2 linked regions of the Arabidopsis thaliana genome follow. The protein of the gene in region 2 purifies or fractionates together with the protein of the main gene of each other region. This does not show direct contact. Each region holds a gene or a part of one and is shown on either strand. Other genes may lie near its edges.

Region 1 (5,782 bases), 6.5 Mb from region 2:
TTATAAAATTATATCTGTTTCTAGAAGTTTGGCTAACGTATTCTTTGCTTACAGTATAGGATGCATCCAGAAATTTGTCGATTCCCGTCTATGCATTTCTACGACAATAAGTTACTAAATGGTGTTGACATGTCAAGTAAATCAGCACCATTCCACGAGAACCATCATCTTGGACCATATGTTTTCTATGATATTGTTGATGGCCAAGAGCATCGAAGTGGCGATTCTAGCTCCGTATGCAATGAACAAGAAGCTGAAGCTGCTGTTCAACTGCTTAGATTTTTCAAGAAGAGGTCATTAATCATTCTTAAGCTATCTATTCACACATGTTTTAGAGAGTTATATGATATTATTTTACTCACTTGCTATCTTGATGCTTACAGGTACCCCTCAGAATTTGTTGCTGGAAGGATTGGCATTATAACCCCTTACAAGCGTCAGCTTGCCGTTTTGCGTTCGCGTTTCACTGGTGCATTTGGGGCTCAAGTAACAGCAGATATGGAAATGAATACTGTGGATGGCTTTCAAGGCAAAGAAGTTGACATATTAGTATTATCCACTGTAAGAGCTACACATTCGGCTCCTGATGGGGTCAATCAAAGTCGGATTGGTTTTGTTGCAGATGTTAGACGCATGAATGTTGCTCTCACTAGAGCCAAACTCTCCCTTTGGGTTTTGGGTAACACACGAACCTTGCAAAGAGACCATAACTGGGGTGCTCTTGTGAAAGATGCAAAAGAAAGAGAAGTCATCATACCAGTTAAGCGACCGTACAACTACATGTTTGGTGAGAATGTGATGGAACAAAACCATTCTGAGAATCTTCCAAAGAATTTTCCTAAGCCTGATAAACAGCATTCACGCCGCAAAGAACAGAGAGCAGAGACATCTTCTGATAGAAAACTGAGGAAAACTGATGGAGATGTTGTGCCTATCTCATCAAAAGGATCAGAGAGTAAGCACACCAGACGAAATGCGAAAGAAGAAGCTTCATCTCAAAGGGAAAAACTAGTTGCAAGCTGTGAGAAAGTAACATCCGAAGAGACTCTGAGACGGAGCCATGAAAAGAAAGAAAAAATGAAAGGCAGAGAGAAAAGCAGTAATCCAGAGATTACAGATGCAAATAGTTCGAAGAACGAAAATTCAAATGAATGGAAGAAATCTAAGAAGGCTTCATCAAAGCTTGACAGTAGCAAGAGGGCAAATCCCACAGATAAAATTGGACAGCAAGATAGGCAAATAAACAAGGGCAATGCTTCTAATCAAGGAGGTGTTGAAGATATGATATCCAAACGAAAGCAGCAGCGTGAAGCTGTTGCTGCCATTCTCAATTCGTCTCTGATTCCTTCACATAAGCCTAAACCTCCAAAGCGACCATTGTCCCCAGGTTCAACCGCCGGCAGTCATACAAGACCACCTAAGGCGATCAAAGGTAAGATTTCATTACATATCGAACCTCTTTATGTTCTTCCTCAGAAGCTGATATGCAATTGTAAATTAGTATGTCTTAATGTTGAATTTCACTTACACTCTTCTTATTTGCAGAGTCAACCAAGAACAACAGTTAACAAAGATAACAAACAAACAACTGATTTCACAAAGGTTATTTCCCACAATCGTGAACCAGTTGTTAATTTCCGGTTTCATGGGTAAGTTTTATAGTTTCCTCTGGCGTCATTCATCATAGGTTCTCTCATGTTCTAACTCTGAAACTAGCACTAGGAGAAAATTTTGGCTAACTTAGTGTTGGCAACTCAAATTGCAATATTTTGTTGAAAGTTGCCTGCTATGAAATTTTATTTTGCTGTGTATATATTATCATGCCATTATGATAAAAACTGTTTAACAAATTGTCTTTTCTTTGTTTTAGAGCAAAATTAATTGGGATAATTTTCTAATGAGATTATTGTTCAACAGTACAAAGATTGAAGTCGCTGATACTCAAATTTCACTAAATACAACACCGGAAAAAAACTCATAAGAAACCATATCAACCTAGAATTTTCCTTTCTAACAATTCAAGAGGTAGATGAAGGATCCGTCCCGATCCTAACGGCGGACCAAATTTGACCAATGCCTCTGGTAACGTGAGGCCAAACGGCGCTAATTCCGTTAAGTGTCGCACCAGAAGCTAACCCTAACGCGAAAGTCTCAACGTATCCAGGTTTCGTCTCCAGCTTCGCGTCGACGACGGCAAGCCTCCCGTTAATGGCGTCGATTTTCCTCGCGTCGGTTACAAGCTTATCCTTGCTCGAGGCGTTTCTGGAGGACGAAACTACTCGGACGAGCGCGTTTTGTAAATCTTCGATGACCTTTATTGAAGCTTCTGCTGGTTCCAGCCCTCGTTTCTGGTAGTGAGAGATTAGTTCCGTCGGAGTTGGGAATTTCTTCGATTTCTGCTTTTGTTCTGATTTGGTTTCCTCCGCCGCGTTTGGTGTCGCCGGTTGCTTCATCTTCTGCTCCGCCGGGTATACAAGTACAGAATTTGAATCTCTTATCTGGGAAATTTTCTAAAGTACAGCTCCTGGGTTGGAAGATGAGACGGAAGATAATTATTTGATTTTATTTATATTTTAAAAATCAACTTTGGGTAATTTTTCTTCATGGACTGTCTGTTGGGCTTGGGCCCACGAATACTGTGAAACTAGTAATCTCCTTTAATATGGTAAAATGATAGCATAACAACAATATTGCCTAATGCGCCTAAAAACAATACTTAGGAGGAAATTATTAAAATCTATATTATTAAGTGGGGCTTATTAAGAAAAAATGCTCCTTGTGATGACGTGTCAAAAACTCATTAGTCAGGATTGTCCAATTAACCCGGCATGAGAAATAAATTAACAAAAGAGTGTAAACTAACCTCTGAAGTGTTAGGATTTACGGTGACAACAGACAGAGAGAGTGGAGAACGCTTCTTCGGCTAGGACGACAAGCTTCGAGTTGATGGCGGTTTTCTTCTGACCATTCTCTGAAACTGTAATTTGTCTTCACTGTTTCGCCGATTTAGGGGTTTTCTTACTCGCATTTCGGAAACAAATATTATTCGTATCTGTTATTTTGCCTACAATTTCGCTAATTCTCTGTCGTTTACGTTTTCGTTTTCGTTTAGATCATGATAGTGAGAATTTAGATCTGATTGGTTTATCTACAAAATGTTGGTGTTCGATAAGTCTAGCTAAATCTTACAGTAGAATTTCATGGTGTCCGATTAATACAGAGAAATTTTCCGGGGCTTAATTCTTGTCAGTTTTATTTCAGAATCTTCTCTTATGCTGAAAACTATATATGGGAGGTGTTTCTCTCGGAGTCAATACCGAGTGAGAAAGTGTGAAGAAGCTGATCAAGATATAGTCAGACTTTGTGGGTTACGATTAGTTCTCTTGTTATGCTGTGGTAAACCTTTGGAGGGTCTTTTGTAGCGTATCAAGATTCAGCGTCCAAGTTCTGGGGCTGAGCTGCCCCGTAGCACGGGTTTTATACCTCTTCCCCTTGTTCGGAGGGCAAATTCGTTACAAAACATGATGATGGATGAAGATGTTGAGCAGGCCACTCTGGTTTCTTACAGTGACAAGCCAAGGACCTTCCCGGATATGCGTAGTAAAACTTACAGTCCATTGGTTAGGACATAATACCCTTCTCTCTCGAGCATATCTTTCTTGCATCTAAACACCGTCATATTTATACAAATATGTATTGGTGTTATATCTGGTTTTATTTCTATTTCTTTTGGTATCTTTATAATGAGTTGTTTTGTGCAGATAATCCGCATTCTGAGAAATTTAAATGTTCGTGCCCTTTCTGTACTTCTGCTTTTGAGCTTTGGAGGGATCTTTTACATGGGAGCACGTACTTCTCCCATCATTGTGTTCGTCTTTGTAGTATGCATCATCAGTTTCATGTTGTCAGTATACCTGACCAAGTGGGTATTAGCCAAAGATGAAGGACCTCCAGAAATGGTTCAGGTAATTTCACACAAGTTTTAATTTGTTCTATTCGTGATTGTGTCTTCTTTGTTACTCAGTTGCATTTTCAGTTCTGTGCTATGAGCTTATTCTTTTCTGTTTAGATATCAGATGCTATACGTGATGGAGCTGAAGGATTTTTAAGAACGCAGTATGGTACTATATCCAAAATGGCGTTCTTGCTAGCTTTTGTGATCCTTTGCATATACTTGTTCCGTAACTTAACCCCCCAGCAAGAGGCTTCTGGTTTAGGAAGGTGATCATACATCTTCTACAGAATCTTTTCTTTTATCTTTTGTGTTGTTATAAATAAAACTCAAATGTATAACTTTGTGCTTCAGGACAATGTCTGCATACATTACTGTTGCTGCATTTCTTTTGGGTGCGCTATGTTCAGGTATTGCTGGATATGTTGGAATGTGGGTGTCAGTTCGTGCTAATGTACGGGTTTCCAGTGCTGCTAGACGATCCGCAAGGGAAGCATTGCAGGTTTGTTTTTTAGTATTAATAGGAATTCCTGTACACATGGCCAAATACTAAGTGATGGATTTAATGCAGATAGCTGTTCGTGCTGGTGGATTCTCAGCTCTGGTTGTTGTTGGTATGGCTGTGATTGGTATTGCCATCCTGTATTCTACATTTTATGTATGGTTGGACGTGGATTCACCTGGCTCAATGAAGGTTACTGATCGTAAGTCATAGCTTCCTGTTCTCTGGATATCTTTCCTTTTATGTTTGGCCATTCTATAGTAACCAGCTATATTCTATGCATCAGTGCGCTGAGTTCATGTTTATTTTCAGAGATTCAAATTTAATCACAAACAGTATCTTCTTATACCAAGTTGGTACATATATGGGTTTGAGGAATCCGTTTTGCTGAATTTCAAGAAATGGCTATTTGCTAAAGAAGCAACAGCATGGGTCGAGTCTTCATCTGTAGAACCGGAATGCAAACTTTTTTGATGTTGTTCTCAAATGTTTAACGTTTGCAAACCCGAAATTGCATTTGCATGTACTAGTGTTACTTTTTAGCTTAATGATTTGACTTTCCCATTTTTCTTACAGTGCCTCTTCTTCTTGTGGGATATGGTTTTGGTGCATCATTTGTTGCCTTATTTGCTCAGTTGGGTGGTGGAATATATACTAAGGGAGCTGATGTCGGGGCAGATCTGGTCGGGAAAGTTGAGCACGGTATTCCTGAGGATGACCCTCGGAACCCTGCAGTTATAGCTGATTTGGTATTAGTTCTTTCATTTCACGATCCTTTGTGTATGATTTTGTCGGGCCTGGAACCTTTTGTCATCACTGAAGCTTCACTCTCATCTTCTTGCAGGTTGGAGACAATGTTGGGGACTGCGCTGCTCGAGGTGCTGATTTATTTGAAAGTATAGCTGCAGAAATCATCAGTGCAATGATACTTGGGGGTACAATGGCTCAGAAGTGCAAAATTGAAGGTTTGCGAGGCATCTTGATTTTATTTTAAAGAGTTGTACTGTTGGTATTTTTAGCAATAAAATTGCAAGGCTAGTTATACTGTGGTCAAACTAGCAGAAAGGGTTTTAGAGTTACCTTTCTTTTTGCTTCATGATTTTTTTATTTCTTACTCAACTTTTTCGTGTATCATGCAGATCCATCTGGTTTTATTTTATTTCCTCTAGTTGTTCACTCGTTTGACTTGGTAATATCATCAATTGGTATTCTATCGATCAAAGGAACTCGCAATGCTAGTGTGAAATCTCCAGTAGAGGATCCAATGGTTGTTCTTCAGAAAGGATATTCGCTGACTATTATATTAGCTGTTTTGACATTTGGCGCGG
Region 2 (6,956 bases):
TTAGTATATGTGTATTCATCACCAACTTCTGTTGTATTGGAAGAACAGCAACCTTAGTAGCTTTCATGTCCTCCTCAACTTCCTCAATGATTAAGCCATAACCTCTCTATATTATATACACTTCTCATCATTATCAAAACATCTTCCTCATTCATAGATCCAAAAACCCAAATCGAAAAATCGATTCTTTAGTCAGAAAAAATGAGGACCAAATCTCCATCTTCTCTTAATCTCAAGGTCATATTCATAGGTTCCTCAATCTTGATCTTGATCATCATCTACTTAGCAAGATCAAACATCTCTTCTTCCTCTTCAAAGCCAATCTCCAAAACAAATCTCTCCCAAGAAGAAGAAGAAACTCAGCATAAACAAGAAGGATGTCCAACAACACAACAATGCACAAAGATGCCACTTTCTTTATCCGATGCATTGGTTCATTACGTCACTAGTAACGTCACTCCACAACAAACATTTGATGAAGTCTCTGTCTCAAAGAGAGTCTTGGACAAGAAGTCTCCTTGTAACTTCCTTGTCTTTGGCTTAGGTCACGACAGTTTAATGTGGGCATCTCTTAACCATGGTGGTCGTACCTGTAAGTACTCTGTTTTTTCCTCTGTTTCAACAGATCTAATGAAAACTTTCTGATTTCTCATTAAGGAAGTTTTTAAATTTCAGTGTTTATTGAAGAAGACCAAGCTTGGATTGCGATAGTAACTAAGAAGTTCCCAAACTTAGAATCTTACCACGTAGTTTACGACACAAAAGTCAAAGATTCAGACAAGCTGATGGAACTAGGAAGATCAGAAGAGTGTAGATCTGTGTCTGATCCGAGAAACTCCAAATGTGATCTTGCGTTGAAAGATTTCCCGGCGGACTTTTACGAGACGAAATGGGATCTGATCATGGTTGATGCACCAACTGGTTACCATGAAGAAGCTCCGGGGAGGATGAGTGCTATTTACACGGCGGGGCTTTTGGCTCGTAACCGTGAAGATGGTGAAACTGACGTTTTTGTTCACGACGTTAACCGTCCGGTGGAAGATGAGTTCTCGGCGACTTTCTTGTGTAAAGGTTATATGAGGGAGCAAAATGGGAGACTTAGACATTTTACTATTCCTAGTCATCGGGCTCGTGCTGGACGACCTTTTTGTCCGGTGGAAGTTGATCGCCGCCGTTAATTTTGTGGTGGGAGATTTATTTAGTTCACCGTCGTTGGTCGGTCAACGGACTCAGGGCTGGTAAATTGTTTTACCTAGTGGACATTGAAGGACTTGCTTAGCTGGCATTTTGTATTTGTTTTGTTTTGTTTTTGCTTGATTTAAATACGTTTTTCAAGATTTTAGTGCATTTACTGAAATCGATACATACTAGTATTCGCATGATTATTTGTGATTTCATTATCCCTTTTGATTAATGAATACAAATAAGGAATTTATCTGAACTGATAATTGGTCATAAGGTCATTGGTAGAATTTGTCAAATTAGGGTGTTTAAAGGTAAATCAAAGCCAAAATATGAGGCTAAATGAGTAACGGACTCAGTCTAAAGGAAAAAAAAATGAAAAAAAAATGAAAAAAAAAACTCATGTTCAGATCGAACCGATTTGTTTAAATCTCGGTTCGGTTCAGAATATCATGTCTACTATATACAGTACTAGTGCTTGTGCTCCAAGATACAAAAAGGATAACAAAACAGAAGTTTTGATAAAATTCAACAACAAAACATAGAGAATCTTTCGATTGAAAAACTCAATTGATTAAGGTATTGTTCGTTTGATCAGTTGACTGATTCATCTAGGTGCAGATGACAACTGATGTTTGTTTGGACACAATTTGGTAGAACAGTTGGATGCATCAGTTAGCTGAGTTTATTAAACTCATCCAAAAAATTCAAAAATTTCAGCTGAGTTTGATCGGTGCATTGAGATGCATCAGCTGCAGTCAAAAACAGCAAATGACTAAAATACACCTTTAAAAATTGAAGAACTACAAAAAGCCATTTCTTACCCTACGGTTCTCGACAATTCTGGACAAAGAAGAAAAAGAGATCTTTAGGATTCTTCACTTCCCTTTATCTCTCACTCTTCGATCTGCTTCTCCATTAGCGTTAGCTCTCGATCTTCTTTTCCATTAGCGCTAGCTCGGTTCTAGGTATACATATCTCTCTCTTTATTTTTGATTCTTACTTGTAATATATTTCGGGGTTTAATACTAGAGAATTGTTTAACCGCAAGCACTCTGATTTGCGTTCGATAATTGAGCGAACATTTGGAGTCTGGAAGGCTAAGTGGAGGATATTGGATCGCAAACACCCTTAATATGAGTTGAAAAAGTGGGTGAAACTTGTGACAACAACTATGACTCTCCATAATGTTATCAGAGATTCATGTCAAGAGGATGCAGATTTTGTACATTGAGAAGCAGTGGAAGAATATGAACATCATGATGATGAAGTAGTAGAGAATGATGAAGTAGAAGACAATGTTCCAAACACAGATCATGTACTGTACGTACCGGTTGGTGATAGAGTGATGAAAGATGTACGTGATTCTATCACCGAAAAGATAGTTAGAAGATATCGACTTTTATATTAGTGGTTATTGTAGACAAAAAAATATTGTGTTTACAATGATGTATTTCTGTTTTATATTCCTCATTGTTTTTTTATGTGCCTTCTTTTAACTTTAATTAATGAATATTTTTGAACAAAACTAATTTGTAAATTTTTAATTTAGTACCATATTTTCTTACAATTTTTTTTAGTGTTTTCCTAATTTTAATAAAAGAATAATACATTTACATCATAAAAATAAGACTAAGATAAATATATGTCTTTTTTAGTCATTTGATACACTATGCATTCAGATGCAGATGTACATAATTAAAAAATAATTCAAACGAACACATCTGCATTCAGATGATTCATCCAAATGCACTACCAACTTCAGGATTGAACATCATCCAAATGATGCATCTGAATGGATCTTCTGGATGGATCACCCAGATGCACTACCTAACTGATCAAACGAACAGCACCTATATGCGATATCACATGTCGTTCTGTTGTGGCCCTCATTACTAGTTACCACAACGCCTAGGTAAACTCTAAAATTGTGAGAAAATAATGTTTGAAAGTAAATTTTTAAAAATTTTGAAAGTAAACTTTTAAATTAAAATATTATTAAAAAATAATAATAAAATAATATTTAGTTTTACGAGGAGTGCTGAGATGGGTTGATTTGAATACGAGACGGTATAACACGGATGAAATCTTAAAATTAACGATTATACAAGCTTGACACTAAACAGAAGAAATACAAGCTTAAATTTATTTGTCCATTATTAACTAAAAAATCGATTCACAATATAAAAAAAAATTAATAGATAGCATATAATATTAGTTTTGTCTCAAGCGTCACTCGAACCAACGACCTCTAAATTTCGCTTACGAGATTACGGATTTCTGTCCAGAATTTCTGGTATTAAAAAAAAGAAACATTTTAATACACAATTAAATTCATAAAATATCAAATAATTACCACGGGCCCACGGCCCACGGGGTGATCCTAGTTAGTATTATGCAGAAATTGATATCCCGTTTGGTAATACATCTCACTCGATAACCAAACATGACATTTGATAAATCACTAATCAGGCTTTTTCAATTTGGGCTTGTTTGTTTACTTTATGCCTAAACTCATATCTTGTTTAGTAACAAGTTTAACTCTGCAACCAAACAGCATCTTTAAGGTCTTATCTCACATATAAACCAACCCCACACACGAAGAACTCAGGATTGGCTAACAATGGCGAAGAAGAAGGAACTGTTATCAAAAGCACCGTGGAGAGGCGACGACGAAGATGATTCCGATAAGTTTAGCAACGCAAAGCTTAAAGTCACAAAGGATTCTGATGGTATGTCGAAGATGCACGTCCCTAGCCGCGGAACCAAAAAAGGAAGTCTCGCTGATGATGATGATGATTCACTTGAGATTGATCCTCAGCTTCGTTACAGCTTCAATCGCAACTATCAGGTCTACCCTTCTCTCATTACTGTAATTCTAGGTTTCATATAGTGAATTTGCTCCTCTCTGCTCTGTTCTTAGGAAATTGTGAAATTACTAGTAAATTGTGGCAATCTTTCTTCTGTCATTTGTTCACACATCTTTAGATTATTGGGTATTGGAGAAATGTGAAAAAGATTTTATCTTTTATGTTTCTGCACCACTTTGGTACTGTTCTGTGTCTTAAGATATTGAAAGCTTATGTGAAGCTTGAGAAGAAGTAATTTTAGCTGCAAAGAATGGATTTTTAGCTCTCTCTGTTACATAAAGCTTTGATTTTTAACACATTGTATCCAGTTTTAGTTTTGAATGAATTGGAAAATTCTGCAATGGTTGATACACTTGCTTGGTGTCTATACATCATTCAAATTCGAAATCTTGAGCCTTTTGCACATTGGATAGAATCTCAGATAGCAGATTCACATTTGTTAAAGAACTATACCGTAACTGTAAAACTGGTTTAAAGGGATCTTTGTATTTTCACATGTATTGGTTTCGTTATTGGGTGGTATACTTTCCTGTAAACACTCTGTGTAGTTCGATGTAGACCTACTTCCCCTTCGACTATAGTATATTTATTAGTTCTGGAAATCGTATGAATAGTTGGTTAGTCAGTTATGTAAATTCCTCTACTATTGTTCATGGTCACATTGGCCATAGACTACTTAGTGATTTAGTATCTTGGTTAAGGAGGTACTTTATAGCCTCTGCTTTGTTATATAGTCATGTTGTTATAATCCTTGGGTATGGAACAACTTGAATCATGACACATTGCATGCATCTCGAACCGTCTTTACACAGAAACATGTTTTATGCATTCACAAAGTGTTCACATACAAGCGATTTTTGAATACCATTGATTTCCTTTCGATAGATTGTAACATGTGTTTATATTTTTATATTGTTAAAACGCTTTTCCTAAGCTGTAAAGTCTGCTTCTCTATTACAGTTCCTGCAAAGTGTATTCACTATAGACACTTTGGTGAAGCCTCTTCCTCCTTCAATGGCATTCAATGTCTCTCGCAACTTGAGCTTCTTCACCCGCATTTTCACTCAATTCTTTGGTGAGCATTATTTTTCGAATACCTTGTTAATGCAACGGATTATATAGTCAAATGTTTTCTTGTCGTACGGTAAAAGTTGTGATGACATCCTCAGTGTTTTAAAACCTTATACTCCTCAATGACCCTTGATTTATTGTCTTGGTATGCGGTTTTAACGGTTGATATGGTTAATGCAGATCCTGAAGGCATTGCAAATGCACAGAAGTCTCTAGGGTTGGGGCAGGAAGAGAAAGCTCGCCGTGTTCGTTGAAATATGACCATATTTCAATCTTGTGAATGGACCCAGCACTGTTAGATTGATTAAAATATGTCCTCAAAGAGATGTTTTGTATGAATTTTCCTAAGTACAATGAAATTTCCAAGTTCCATTTTAGCACTAGGCTTCCCTGTTTCCATCAACATAAACTACTTACTTTGATTCAAACCCAAACTTGGTTCCATATGTGATGCCTCACCTGTTTAAAGATACATCTGTTAACTCTGGATGAGAGTTCACGCTCTTACACCAAACCAACCTTTAAATCTTAGTTGCCATTCTCTTTAACCTCTTCTAGGTATGAAAAAGTAATGTGGTATTTAGAACTTATTAGTTGGAGAACAATTTTTCTGTTCTTGTAAGTATGTAATATTGTGATTTTACACGACAATTTTTAAAGCTAAAAACTAAGAGCCAAGAAAAATACTATGTTTTCTTCAGAAAATAAAATAAAAAATGCTATGTCTTTGTCTAGGATAATGATCTTGGGATGGAACTAAAGAAATTTTGTGAAATGCTAGTTCAGTTTTTATAGTTGTACAAAGAAGTAGAGTAATTGGTGATTAGTTATATGTTTCTTAACTTCTACTCATATCTATGTTTTACTACTATACATATGAGTTCGGAGTATGCTATATCTACTCGATAACTAGGCTTATGCGAGGACTTCACATCACCAAAAAATTGGGTCCTTCTTAGTGGCAAACATCTAGTTTACATTTAATTGCTTCATATCACCAAGAAAGCAGTAAAAAAAAATGCTCGATCATAATCTTCCACAATTGCAGATATGAATAAAAATACTATTTTTCCAGTGTGGGAAAGTTTTGGAATTCTAAAACTTGAAACTTTACAATTAATAACAATTACATACGTATCTTAGTTTTTGCCTAGAATAGTTTTTACTGTCCTCGAGTACTGTTCCAACTGTTACAAAAATAGCCTTTGTGACTTGTGACACAAACAACTGGAAAGCAACACATTAGACTCTGAGACCCTCACGAGACTGCATGCATGAGACACTTGTGAATATAGCCGCAGCTAAAAAGAAGTTTGGTAAGAGAGAGAAAGATAGAGAATTAAAATAGAAAAACCAACTGTCACAAAATTATCAACACATGAAACCAATTATAACATACCGAACCAAACCAACCAACTACATTTCCTCATTATATAACTATGAACTCCACTCAAATCAATTTTCAATCTCATTCTTCTTAAAAACCATTACAATTATTTCACTAAATTATAACTTAATGGGCATTCTCCGTTTTGTATTGTTGATTAGTTTGAATCTGGTTTTGTTTGGTTTTAAAACGACCGTGTCACAGCCACAACAACAGGCACAAGTCCCATGTTTATTCATCTTCGGTGACTCTTTAGTCGACAATGGAAACAACAATAGGTTTAACCTTGCATTCTTTTCTCTGTATTAATATGATTTTTTATGTGTTACACAAATTCATAGTAATTTGTATTATTATGTGTAGGTTGCTTTCTCTTGCGAGGGCTAATTACCGACCTTATGGCATTGACTTTCCCCAAGGTACAACGGGACGGTTCACCAACGGTC

What was found.
Region 1: the proteins of AT1G33810 (region 2) and AT1G16790 fractionate together in Arabidopsis thaliana (co-fractionation; one large-scale study listed by BioGRID). This does not show direct contact.

The regions. Positions count from the first base shown.
Region 1 is NC_003070.9:5,741,309-5,747,090, reverse strand, and holds AT1G16790 (ribosomal protein-like protein), read right to left. Parts: upstream 2,757-5,782; 5' UTR 2,454-2,756; coding exon 2,019-2,453; 3' UTR 1,832-2,018; downstream 1-1,831. Other genes in the region: AT1G16800 (P-loop containing nucleoside triphosphate hydrolases superfamily protein), read left to right, coding at 55-293, 384-1,432, 1,546-1,568; VHP2;2 (Inorganic H pyrophosphatase family protein), read left to right, coding at 3,522-3,620, 3,762-3,965, 4,070-4,221, 4,307-4,454, 4,524-4,656, 5,031-5,203, 5,299-5,419, 5,594-5,781.
Region 2 is NC_003070.9:12,261,279-12,268,234, forward strand, and holds AT1G33810 (zinc finger/BTB domain protein), read left to right. Parts: upstream 1-3,663; 5' UTR 3,664-3,805; coding exon 3,806-4,033; intron 4,034-5,012; coding exon 5,013-5,127; intron 5,128-5,303; coding exon 5,304-5,377; 3' UTR 5,378-5,642; downstream 5,643-6,956. Other genes in the region: GXMT1 (glucuronoxylan 4-O-methyltransferase-like protein (DUF579)), read left to right, coding at 202-592, 676-1,178; AT1G33811 (GDSL-like Lipase/Acylhydrolase superfamily protein), read left to right, coding at 6,640-6,788, 6,874-6,956.